3 linked regions of the Macaca fascicularis genome follow. The protein of the gene in region 3 purifies or fractionates together with the protein of the main gene of each other region. This does not show direct contact. Links are inferred from orthologs where the notes say so. Each region holds a gene or a part of one and is shown on either strand. Other genes may lie near its edges. The genes, in order: KDM6A, MTOR and FBXW7.

Evidence for each region.
Region 1: the proteins of FBXW7 (region 3) and KDM6A purify together in Homo sapiens (affinity purification with mass spectrometry; 3 studies listed by BioGRID and IntAct, with this or other methods). This does not show direct contact. The link is inferred for Macaca fascicularis from reciprocal best matches to the Homo sapiens genes FBXW7 and KDM6A.
Region 2: the proteins of FBXW7 (region 3) and MTOR purify together in Homo sapiens (affinity purification with western blotting; 9 studies listed by BioGRID and IntAct, with this or other methods). This does not show direct contact. The link is inferred for Macaca fascicularis from reciprocal best matches to the Homo sapiens genes FBXW7 and MTOR.

The regions. Positions count from the first base shown.
Region 1 is NC_088395.1:44,930,920-44,934,664, forward strand, and holds the start of KDM6A (lysine-specific demethylase 6A), read left to right. Parts: upstream 1-1,276; 5' UTR 1,277-1,623; coding exon 1,624-1,784; intron 1,785-1,995; coding exon 1,996-2,059; intron 2,060-3,745. UniProt on the Homo sapiens protein: Histone demethylase that specifically demethylates 'Lys-27' of histone H3, thereby playing a central role in histone code. Demethylates trimethylated and dimethylated but not monomethylated H3 'Lys-27'.
Region 2 is NC_088375.1:223,546,919-223,550,663, forward strand, and holds the start of MTOR (serine/threonine-protein kinase mTOR), read left to right. Parts: upstream 1-1,038; 5' UTR 1,039-1,134; intron 1,135-1,470; 5' UTR 1,471-1,563; intron 1,564-3,745. UniProt on the Homo sapiens protein: Serine/threonine protein kinase which is a central regulator of cellular metabolism, growth and survival in response to hormones, growth factors, nutrients, energy and stress signals.
Region 3 is NC_088379.1:157,446,837-157,450,581, reverse strand, and holds the start of FBXW7 (F-box/WD repeat-containing protein 7), read left to right. Parts: upstream 1-1,276; 5' UTR 1,277-2,435; intron 2,436-3,745. UniProt on the Homo sapiens protein: Substrate recognition component of a SCF (SKP1-CUL1-F-box protein) E3 ubiquitin-protein ligase complex which mediates the ubiquitination and subsequent proteasomal degradation of target proteins.

The sequences.
Region 1 (3,745 bases), on a different chromosome or scaffold from region 3:
CATACAGCTTAGTAAATAAATTTGCCTTTTGAGAAGAGTAGTCGAAAGGCCTGTTTTCTTTTTTTTTTTCCACTTATACTAAAGATTAAAAGCCAGACTACAGCCTTTCCCCTGCACCTGAGAGACAGAACAAAGTGTTACTGTTGTCTAGGGGTTACAAACCTGCAGGTTTTGGGGGATAGAAAGGCTTTCCTGGGCCACCAGCTGTGATGAGGATTTAATTATGTCTTCTCTCAGGTCTGTCCACAAGCAGTCCCTACTTTTGTAAGAAGGCTCCACTGAAATCACGGCAATAGAACCCAACATTCTGCAGATCCCGCTTAACAATTTCTCATTGCTTTTTCTTGTAAGACTGTAATGAACTACTGATAAGACACAGGGTAAACACAGCACGAAAATCTGGCCCCAAAGTGCCGCCAACAGACAGACCTTTGGCGGTGGGGAGCCACGGTCGGCAAGCCAGGCCCCGCGGGCGACTCTTCATTCCCTCCGGCCTGGGGCGTATGGGCGGGGGTCAGGGGAGCCTTTCCCCCTTCACTTTCGGCGCGGGTGAGGTGGTCGGGGCTGCCAGCGTAGGTCTGGCCTAGGGCGGCACCCGGACCGCGGGGCACCGGGCCGGCAGCCGCTCCCCAAGCGCACTCCTCGCGGAGGCCATTATTTCCAGCAGTGCCAAAGTCTGAGCCTTCTTCGGAGGGCAGAGGTAGAGGGCCGTGTACCGCCTCCCGGCTACGCGACCTGTACCAGGCCCTGTGGGGTCCCGGGACCCCTGGAGCGCGCGCGGGACGGCCGGAGCCGCGGTCTGGGCACATCCCAGAGCTCCCAGGCAGGCAAAGGCCGTCCTTGGCATCTTCGCCCGCCGCTCGCGCCCGCCGCGGGCGCTGCCGGACCTCGCCCTTCCCCACCACTCCCCTCCCCCTCCAAAGCCTGCCGTGGTTCCCGAGGTGACACGGCCCGGACCCTCCATTCTCTGCCCCAGTGTATTTAACCAGCACAACCTAACAGGAAGCTCCCTCTCGGTGACAACCCTTCCCCCGACAGACGCGCCCAGCAGCCAACCACCGGCCAGAATTGGCCTGCGTCCCGCTCCCCTCTCGGTGGCGGCCTCGGTGGGCGGGGCTCGGGCAGCTAGCAAGTTAAGTGGAGCCACGGCTGACGTGAGTCAACAAAGGTCACGTGAGTCGTGCGGGCCGCGCCGATTGGTGGCGCCAGTCGGGCGGGGAGGGGGGGTCACGGCGGCGGCGTGGGGTTCGCTGTGTGACACAATTACAACAACTTTGTGCTGGTGCCGGGGAAGTTTGTGTCTCCAACGAATCCCCCCAGTGCTCCCCAGCCCTGCGCGCTCCGGCCGTTCCCGCCGTCCCCGCCCGTGGCTGCCCCTTGCCCAACCCCGCGATGTGACCCTACAGCCGAAAGCCGCCGCTGCCGACCCGGGGGCTTCGCAGCCCCTGCCGCCGCCGCCTTCACCGCCGCCGCGTTGGGATTTTTCGTCGCCGCCGCCCGCGGCGGAGGAGGAGGCGGCGATAAAGTTGGTGTGCTGGTCCCGCGCGCAGATTGGGGGCGTCATTGCGGGCCCCGGTCCGAGGGGGGGTGTCGGCGTTGGAGTTGTGAATTCGCTGCGTTTCCATGAAATCCTGCGGAGTGTCGCTCGCTACCGCCGCCGCTGCCGCCGCCGCTTTCGGTGATGAGGAAAAGAAAATGGCGGCGGGAAAAGCGAGCGGCGAGAGCGAGGAGGCGTCCCCCAGCCTGACAGCCGAGGAGAGGGAGGCGCTCGGCGGACTGGACAGGTACGGGCCGCCGTCACTCGCCCGGTCGGCTCCGGACGGGCAGTAGCCGCTCTCCCGGGAGGCCCGAGCGCGGCTTGTCTCTGGCGGCGGCGGGGCGGGCACCTCGGTTTGGCGCTCTTCGCGCCGCCTCCGCCGGGGCCTCGGGCTCGGGCAGGGACGGGTCGGTGGCGTTCCCGGAGCGTTAACGAGTAGCCTGTGTCTCTCCCCACAGCCGCCTCTTCGGGTTCGTGAGGTTTCATGAAGATGGCGCCAGGACGAAGGCCCTACTGGGCAAGGTAAGGCAGCTGCGAGTCGGAGCGCGGACACCGTCTCCCCGGCCGGCGCCGCGCTCGCCCCGGGCCCCGCGGCCGGGTCTGCGCTCATTGTGGCCGCGGACGATGGTCGAGGGGCTTCCGGAAAACTATTTCCTGCCTCTGCTCTCCCCCCACCCACGGGTACCCAGCTTGCTCCCTTGCTAAATTGCTCTTTTCCTCTTGTAGCTGGAGGAACAGAGACGGGATCGCTTTGGGGCCGGGCTCAACTGGGTCGACAAAACTGCCTGCTATTTTACAGCTTTTTGGGGATAGGCCGATGATCTTCGACGTGCATGTTTAGAGTCAAGGGATCGTGAATGTGTTCAGATTTCCCCCAATTCCGGACTTCACTTGCCTCTCACGGGTTTAAAGAAATTCTTTTCCTTCAAGCAGGCTGTTCGTGATGCCTACTGCTAACCAAATGTTTTAGGCTTTCTTGTGTCCCCGCTCCCAGAAGGGGGAAGTTTCACGGAGTTTAGGTCGGTGAAGAGTTTGCATTGGGCTGTTGACATGTATCTCGATCGCAATGTGTGTTACCTGAAGTTAGGTGACTTGTTTACTTTTTGGGTCTTTTTGGCATAGAAATACCGTAGTTATTTGTAAATGTGTTCTCTTCCTGGAGCCTCATTTCCTGCGTGTCTGACAGGGGAGACTGGGGAGGAATCGGGGTGTAGTCTCTGTTTATTTGTGTGGAAAGTTGTTGGCACTGTCATTTAGTTAAGTAATGGCTGCTCCTATCGGCCCAAGATGGCGGGACAGGGTGGGAGGAGAAAGTGAAGGGGGGGGGGTTTGGGGGAGGGAGTAGAGGTAAACATGGAAATAAATAGTAGCCGTGAATAAGCCTTTCCTTCGGAGTGTGTAGCTCAGTGGTGTTTAAAAAAAAATTACCCAAGATTATTTGCATATAGAATTCTTGTACCTTTCACAAGCTTGGAAGCAGCATGCATAAGCCTGGTAAATGCTTATCAACCTGTAGCACATTTAGTTACCCATCCTTAAGCTATTGAACAAAGGCTGGAGTCTCAGTCTCTAGGCATCAATTTATATTTCCTGACCAAAATCTGATTGCAATGATATTTGAATACTTTCTTCGTAATTGGGACCGTGAAAGTTGGAGTGTGTGCTATGGGTGTTGCATCCGTTAGACATTTTCTTTTCTAGCTGAAATCATAGCTTTGCATTTGACACCTAGCTTTATTGTTACAGTTGAGACGGAAGTTTGAAGTAAGTCCAACATTTTATTCTTAAGTTGATTTTTTTGTTGTTCTGAATTTTTGTCTGTAGCTTGGTTTAGCAGAGTCATCAATTCTTTTTTATCTGTAATTACAAATTTGTTTTTATTTCCAAGTAATTATAAGGAGTTTTATTGCATATAATGATCAGAAAACTAAATGGAAATAATGCTTTTCAGTAAGCCCGGCCCCTTTGACCGATACAGAAAACTTGAATTAAACTTTGACTACATAGGTATTAATTGGCTTCATTGCAATTATTGTTGTAAAAATGAACAGTGACTAGCTCTGGAAAGATTTAAGCGTCAGTAATTGTTGGTCTCCTGCCTTAAAAGTTTTTTTTCCCAATTTGAGTATTTAAAGTATTTTATTTAAAAATATTTGACTGCTGTCAAAGTTGTCATTACAAAAGATTAAACATGATTTAAATTCAAAG
Region 2 (3,745 bases), on a different chromosome or scaffold from region 3:
GATTACAGGCGTGGGCCACTGTGACCAGCAGCTATTTATTTTCCTTGGTATGTATGTATGTATGTATGTATGCATGCATGCATGCATGTATGTATTCATTGAGACGGAGATTTCTCAGTCGCCCAGGCTGGAGTGCAGTGGCACGATCTCAGCTCACTACAACCTTTGCTTCCCGGGTTCAGGCGATTCTCGTGCCTCAGCCTCCCGAGTACCTGGGATTACAGGCGTGCGCCACAATGCCCACCTAATTTTTGTATTTTTAGTAGAGACGCGGGAGAGTTTCACCATGTTGGCCAGGCTGGTCTCGACTCCTCCTGACCTTAAGTGATCCGCCCGCCTCGGCCTCCCAAAGTGCTGGGATTACGGGCGTGAGCCACCGCGCCGGGCCAGCTATTGATTTTTGAAACGATTAAAAAAATATAATGTTTCTTTGAAACTTTTTATTTATGAGTAGCTCTTTTGGTTAAAACTTGGCTATGGTTTCTCTGGAATGATCCTGAATTGGATAATTTTGGGAAAGTGAGAAAATCTAATTAAAAACATTTTCAAATGCTTATTAAATGTAACAAAAGAGAAATCATAGGATCCATAAAGAGCGCTAGCCCGAAACGTCTTCTGATGCAGTAATTCCTGGGCGCCAGCATTGCTCACACTCTCCTCTCAGAATTACACCGGGAGGGGTCGCGAACCTCTGCTAGCCGCTCTTGGTGCGATCCGGAGGTACCCAGACAGCGGACTCCCTGAGTTCACAGCCCGGATGCAGAGGGGAATCCTAGCAGCGCCGCACCGGATGTATGAGTGGAAGTGACTGAGGTCAACTCACGACCGATTGGTTCTCCCGAGTGGACCCAAGCCTGTTTTCAGCTGTCACTGGCCGCGTGGTTTGTCTATTTGAATAGTCCCCGCCCCCTGGAGAAGCCGGGTCCTGAAGCTTCACTTCTTCTTCATTACTATTGGCCTGTTTTTCAGTCCATCTTCTTCCTGTACGTGTCGATTGGTCCTCAGGGCTAGGAACCCTCCTTCCCTCGCTCCCGGTTTAGAGGACAGCGGGGAAGGCGGGCGGTGGGGCAGGGGGCCTGAGGCGGCGGTAGCGGTGCTGGCGGCGGCAGCTGAGGCCTTGGCCGAAGCCGCACGGTGAGTCTAGGGCCTGGAACGACCCCTCTGAGGCGGCGTAATGTCCAGACCTACGGCCAACCTGCCCGTGGGGGGGCAGGGGAAGCCGCCCGTCTGGGACGTGGGGTCCCCACACTGCCGGCCCCACGACCTGGGCATCGTCTGAGCCCTTGAGTCCCACCCCTCGAGGCAACGCCCACCTCCCCGGGACCCCCAAGAGACCCCTGCACCCTTCGGCCCGCGGTACGTCCCCCGAAGGCCGGTCCATCAGCTCTGGTACTGCCCTTTGGGTCTTTTGCCCGTTACAGCCACCCTTTTTTCTGAGCCACGTACAAAAATTTTGTATCTCTGCCCCAGGGAACACCAGCGTCCGTGTCAGCCCCTTATCCTCCACCGTGGACACTTCTCAGAGACCCAGTCACCGAAACTGAGCTCGGTTACATCGTTGGGGTACATCCTCTCGCCTTCTCCCCCAGCCCCATCCCTGTTTCTCCCATCCAATTTTAACTTACTTAAGCCCTATCAAGACCCTTAGGATGTTTGACTTCAGATATCCTAAGTTTAATTGAATTCAGCCTGGAGCAGATGGCCTGTGGGCCTCAGACCGTATGAAGTTACACTGGTTCTTTCCTGAGCCTTTCCTTGCTAGCCTCCTTCCCCCCTTTCATACACACACACATACACACAAACTGGAGTAGTTTTCTTAGTAGGGATTCTTAAGTTTCTTCTCCCCTAAAGGATGACATTTCTTTCTGCAGTCTTCTTCTTGGCACTGGAGTATTTGAAAGCTTTTCAAAACCAATTATTCCCTGTTTTTCCTCTGTGCCTTACAAATTGGTTCAAAAATAAGAATTTTGAGAAATTGGTTTTGTAGCATAAGCTGAACATACTTAGGATAGGTATATGTTCCACCCATAGCAGTGTGGGCATAATTGAGGAATGAAGGAATGATCTCAGAAACTAATTGGTTTCTTTTAGCTTACATTTGAAGTGCTAGTCCCCTGTAGAACTGCATTGTTCAGTACAAGAACCACCAGCCACATGTGGCTGTAGAACACTTGAAATGTGACTAGTTCAGGTGGCTCACACCTGTAATCCCAGCACTTTGGGAGGCCAAGGCGGGTGGATCACCTGAGGTCAGGAATTTGAGACCAGCCTAGCCAACATGATGAAACCCCATCTCTACTAAAAATACAAAAAAAAATTAGCCAGGTGTGGTGCTGCACATATGTAGTCCCAGCTACTTGGGAAGCTGAAGCAGGAGAATCATTTGAACCCAGGAGGTGGAGGTTGCAGTGAGCCAAGATCACGCCACTGCACTCCAGCCTGGGTGACGGAGAGCAAGACTCTGTCTCAAAAAATAAATAAAAGTGACTAGTCCAGATTGACATTGTCGTAAGTGTAAAATGCACATTAGATTTTGAAGACTCGCTACAAAAAAAGAATGGACACTATATCAATTTTTAAAATATTGATAACATGTTGAAATGATATTTTGGATATATTAGTTTAAGTAATTAATTTCACCTGTTTCTTTTCACCTTTTAAAATATGGCTACCAGCAGCTTTAAAATTACATTTGTGGATCACTGTATTTCCTTTTTTTTTTTTTTTTTTCAATTGGGATGGAGTTTTGCTCTTGTCGCCCAGGCTGCAGTGCAATGGCGCAATCTTGGCTCACTGCAACCTCCGCCTCCTGGGTTCAAGTGATTCTCCTGCCTCAACCTCCCAAGTAGCTGGGATTACAGGCACGCACTGCCATGCCTGGCTAATTTTGTATTTTTGGTAGAGATGGAGTTTCACCATATTCCCCAGGCTGGTCTCAAACTCCTGACCTCAGGTGATCTGCCTGCCTTGGCCTCCCGAAGTGCTGGGATTACAGGCGTGAGGCACTGTGCCTGGCCTATATTTCTATTAGACAATGCTGCTGTGGAATAATAATCTCTCTTTTTAGACTGAACTTGAGCAAAGGGGCAGTCTTAGTCATTTTTGATTCTTTCCCTACCTCCCCACATTTGTTACCTGGCACTGTGCCGTGTACATAGTAGTAGTAGTAATAATAATAGCTAACAATTATTAAGAACTCAGTATATGCCCTGCACTGTTTTAAATACTTTTTGACATGTATTAACTCATTTAGTCCTCACATCAACCCATGAACTAGGTACTATTATCTTCCTATTGTAGTTGAAGAAACATTTTTAGTGTCTTTCTCAAGGTATATAACCTTGTTTTTGTTTTCGTTTGTTTTTGTTTGAGACAGTGGAGTGGCAGGATCTTGGCTCAGGGCAACCTCCCGTCCCAGGTTCAAGTGATTCTCCTGCCTCAGCCTCCCGGGTGGCACATGCCACTACGCCCAGCTAAGTTTTGTATTTTTAGTAGAGATGGGATTTCACCATGTTGGCCAGGCTGGTTTCGAACTCCTGACCTCAGGTGGTCCTCCTGACTCGGCCTCCAAAACTGCTCAAGGTATCTAACCCAAGGATTCAAACCCAAGTAGGCTAGCTCCCATAGCCCGCAATTTGACCCTCCCTACCACACTGCCTCTTTTAAACATCAGTCATTGTTTAATGAATCTAGGCTTTCTAAATGTTCCTCAATAAGATCTCTCAACCTTTTTAGAATCCCCTGC
Region 3 (3,745 bases):
ACAGAATTGTGGAATCTGCTTTCATCATTGCTGCTGTTTTAATCTTTTCCTCATACTACTCACTTAAGACAGATTTCTGAGGATTCTGGTCCTTTTATCTTAAATTTCTTTTCCTAGAGAACTACACTTTAAACTTCATGAGTTTTTACTTGACTTTCCTTTCCAGGATAACATCTGTAGGAAAAGCTGCATAATAGTAATAACATTTATTTTAGAAAGAAAATAACCTTTGAGTCAGAACTGAAACACAGGCTAACATTTCTTGATGACAACGTACACTGATGAACCAAGATCAGAAGTTCTCGAAAGCCCCAAGCCATAAGAAAGAACCATTCGTAAAAGTGAGGCACTATTAAATTCTTCCCCTGACAGTTAAAAATCCTTCAACAATCTCCCAGAGGATGGCTCCCTTCCAATCCTCCCTTCCCGCCATCCTAACAATCTGCACGAGGATGGGTTCCTTCCTCTGCCCGGCATTTCGTCTCCTTGTCCACTAAAGACTCAGGTTGTGACTGTACTCAAGCCGCACCCCTGTTTCCTTTCACGGCTAGGAGGAGGGAAGGAATTTATTACAACTCATTTGTACAATGCACTGTAGTTTACAAAGCACTTGCACTTCCACCATATCCTCTGAGCTTCGTGAGTGCCACGTGAGAGAGGCATTCATTCATTCATTCATTCATCAAACATTTGCTCGTCCCGACCACACGTTATCCAACGCCGGGTCTCACCCCATGCCACGGGAAGGTTGGGGCGCTCTCTCCCTGGAGCAGGTGCAGCGGGTCAGGCTGTGCGGGAACTCCTCGATCAGTCCGGCTTTTCAAGGGTCTGGGGCCAAATGCCTCATCTTCGGGTGGTGCGTGCAGCTGTCTGAAGGCGCGGCCTGGGCCTCCTCTTTCCTCCCAAAGGAGCAGTCCCCACCTGCCCCGAAGGAAACCGCTACAGAGCAAGCTCTCCAGGCCGCCCTCGGGTCAGGGGTAAGATCGGGCGGCAGCTTAGGCTCGACTCGGCTCCTCCCCTTCCTCTCTTCAGTTCTGACGCGGCCGTAGAGGCGGCAGCGGCGGCGGCGGCTGCGAGTCCCGCGGCCCGAGGCGCACCCACCCGCTCGCCGATCCCCACTTCCTCTTCCCTTGGAGCGTCATCAGAGGGCGCCAGAGGCGCCCAGGGCGGGGTGGCTGGAAGGGTAAAAGAGGCCAGCGGAGGAAGCCTCAGAGCGGAAAGAAGAGGGAGGGGGAAGAGAGTGGTTGCTAGGTGACTTGCGTCATCGGCAGGCGCCGCTCTCCTCCCGCCCCTCTCTCTGGAGTGAGGCGAGAGCCCCGCACAGAGCGAGGCAGACAGCGAGCTGAGCTCCGGGCGCTGTCGCTGCTGCCGCCGCTGAGAGTGAGAGCGAAGGCGTATCCGAGAGACCCAGCCCCCCTGCACTGGCCGCCGAGACCTTCGCTCTCACCTGGGCCAGCGAGAGCCGCGGCCGCACTCCTCTCCCCCCCTCACCTTCCCGGCCGGCAGCGGCGGCTGCTGCACACGCCGGAGCCGGAGCCGGAGCCGGAGCCCGAGCCTGAGCCGGAGCCGGCGGCTTGGGGGGCAGGGAGGCGGCTACCACCGGCCGGGACTGGGTAGCTGCTCCGTGGTGAGAGAACGCTGAGGAGGCGCCGGAGCTTCTGCCTCGTCCCGGGGGGCCTGGGGCGAGAGACCCCCAAGGTGTAGGGAGGGGGGTCCCAGCCGCAGCGACACATGCGGGAGCCGGGAGCGGGGGCGGCGCCGAGCGGAGCCGGCCGGGTCCCTCGCCTCGCCGCCGCCTCGGCCACCCGCCCGGGGCCGTAGCATCTTGCCCCGGAGTGTATGAACCGGGGCCCCAACCAAGCTCGGCAACCACCCCCCGGCCGGGGGGGCGGGGACCCCGATGTGAAGCTGCGGCTGGGGCGGCGGAGAGAGCAGGACCGACGCCGCCGTCCTTTCCTCACCTTTCCCCTCCCCTCAGCCCCCTCCGGGGGTCTTCTCCCTTGGCCAGTCGCCGGCCCCCCGGCTCCTTGGCTGGACTCCGGGAGGAGTTCTTAGAGCCCCCCTCCCCCGCCCCAGTCCCGAGGGCGGCGGGGCCGGGGGGGACCCGGGGGGCCGGCTGCAGCCTCCACCCAGAGGAAACTTTACAAAAACAAAATTCGGAGTCTCCCAAACCTGACTGTCCCGGGAGAAGTGGCCCTGGACGGGCAGAAGCCGCAGCCTGAAAAGACCCAGGAAGAGGAAAAGAGGAGGTAAGCGGGGCCGCCGCCTCCTCTCCCCTGGCAGCACGGAAGAGACCCGGGTGGCCGCCTGGTTTAGCGACACGAGCACCGCTTCAACCTCAGTACCGCGCCGGAGCCTTCCGCAGCTGCCGCCTCAGTCCGAAGGAGGAAGGGAACCAACTCACTTTCTCGGCGCCGCGGCTCTTCTCTAAAAGTGTGAGTGGCCCCGGGAGAGGGGATTTAGGGGGAGAAAGTGGGAGGATGCCGGCGCTTCCTCCTGGAGTTTTGCTGATGTTCTCCAGTAGTGTTGGGAGTCTGTCAATGAGAGGGTCTAGCTTTATTCACAGAGGGGGAAAGGTGTTAGAGAGGCCTGTATTTTGTGACTTTTTAGCTCTTTGTACGAGTAATGCAAGTATGCAGGTTTTACTTGGAGGAGTTCTTTCTCCAGAGTGAATACTCGCACCTTTCTGGCCAGTAGTTGGCAAAGGGAAATTGAGGAAGCCAGAGCATATGTGCGCACAGAGGCCGTCTGTATCTGTAAACTTTTCCTGGTACTGTGGGTGTGTGCGGTTTACGTTTTGTTTCTGGGGTACTCTCATATAGGTTCCCGAGTGAGAACCACTTACCCTGTGGACCCCTGAAAGTAAAATTCCTTTGTTTTTTTTTTTAAACAAAACAAAACCAAAAGCCAGTCCTGAGAGAGGTTCATTTCAGTACCTATTGGTACAGGAGTTAAGCTTCTCAGTTCCTGGATCCAATTCATGTGTGTTAGTAGGACACTGTAACAGATGTCAGTTATTCAGGAACTTGAGTTCTCAGGAATCACAACTTTTTTGGGGAAGAGCATTTATCACATTAATCATTTTATAAAAGTTGTGATTTTTTTTCCCTTCACCCCCCCCTTTTTTTTTTTAGAGTAACAAATGACAACACTTTTTTATTTGGTTTGAGGACTTTTTTATTTGGTTTGAGGCTTTGCTCTTTTGAATTATCTTTATTTCTGTATCAATTTAGGATACACCTTTGATATTTAAGTCAGGAATGATTTTTTCTTTCCATTATTTTAAAGTTGAAGTTTATAAAACCTTTGACTTGTATTTTAGGTATCTTGTCAGAGTGCCAAGTTAAAGGTTCATAAAAGTAATTAACATTTCATATACAGACCTTAAGGGTTAAACATAGAGCAGGATTTTATGTAGGAAGGCATAGGCAGTACTATACTGAGAATTGTGGTCCATCTAGACAACTGTGGGCTCGTTCTGTCTGAAGCCACTGCTGAGAGATGCTTTGTGGGAATGAATGTAAGCCTGGGATTATCTCTCTATTCGAAGTTCTCCATTCAGGATCTTGATTAGATTAATTTAAAACTTTCTCAAACTTAACAATGTTTGTTTTTTTTTAAAGTAATGAGTTCTGCAAGTTTATTAGCCTGTGTATTATGTGACAATTCATTTACATATTCTGTACCTGTGTCCCTAAATTTTCAGGACACAGAGTTTATATTTCAAGAAATACCAGGACAAGCC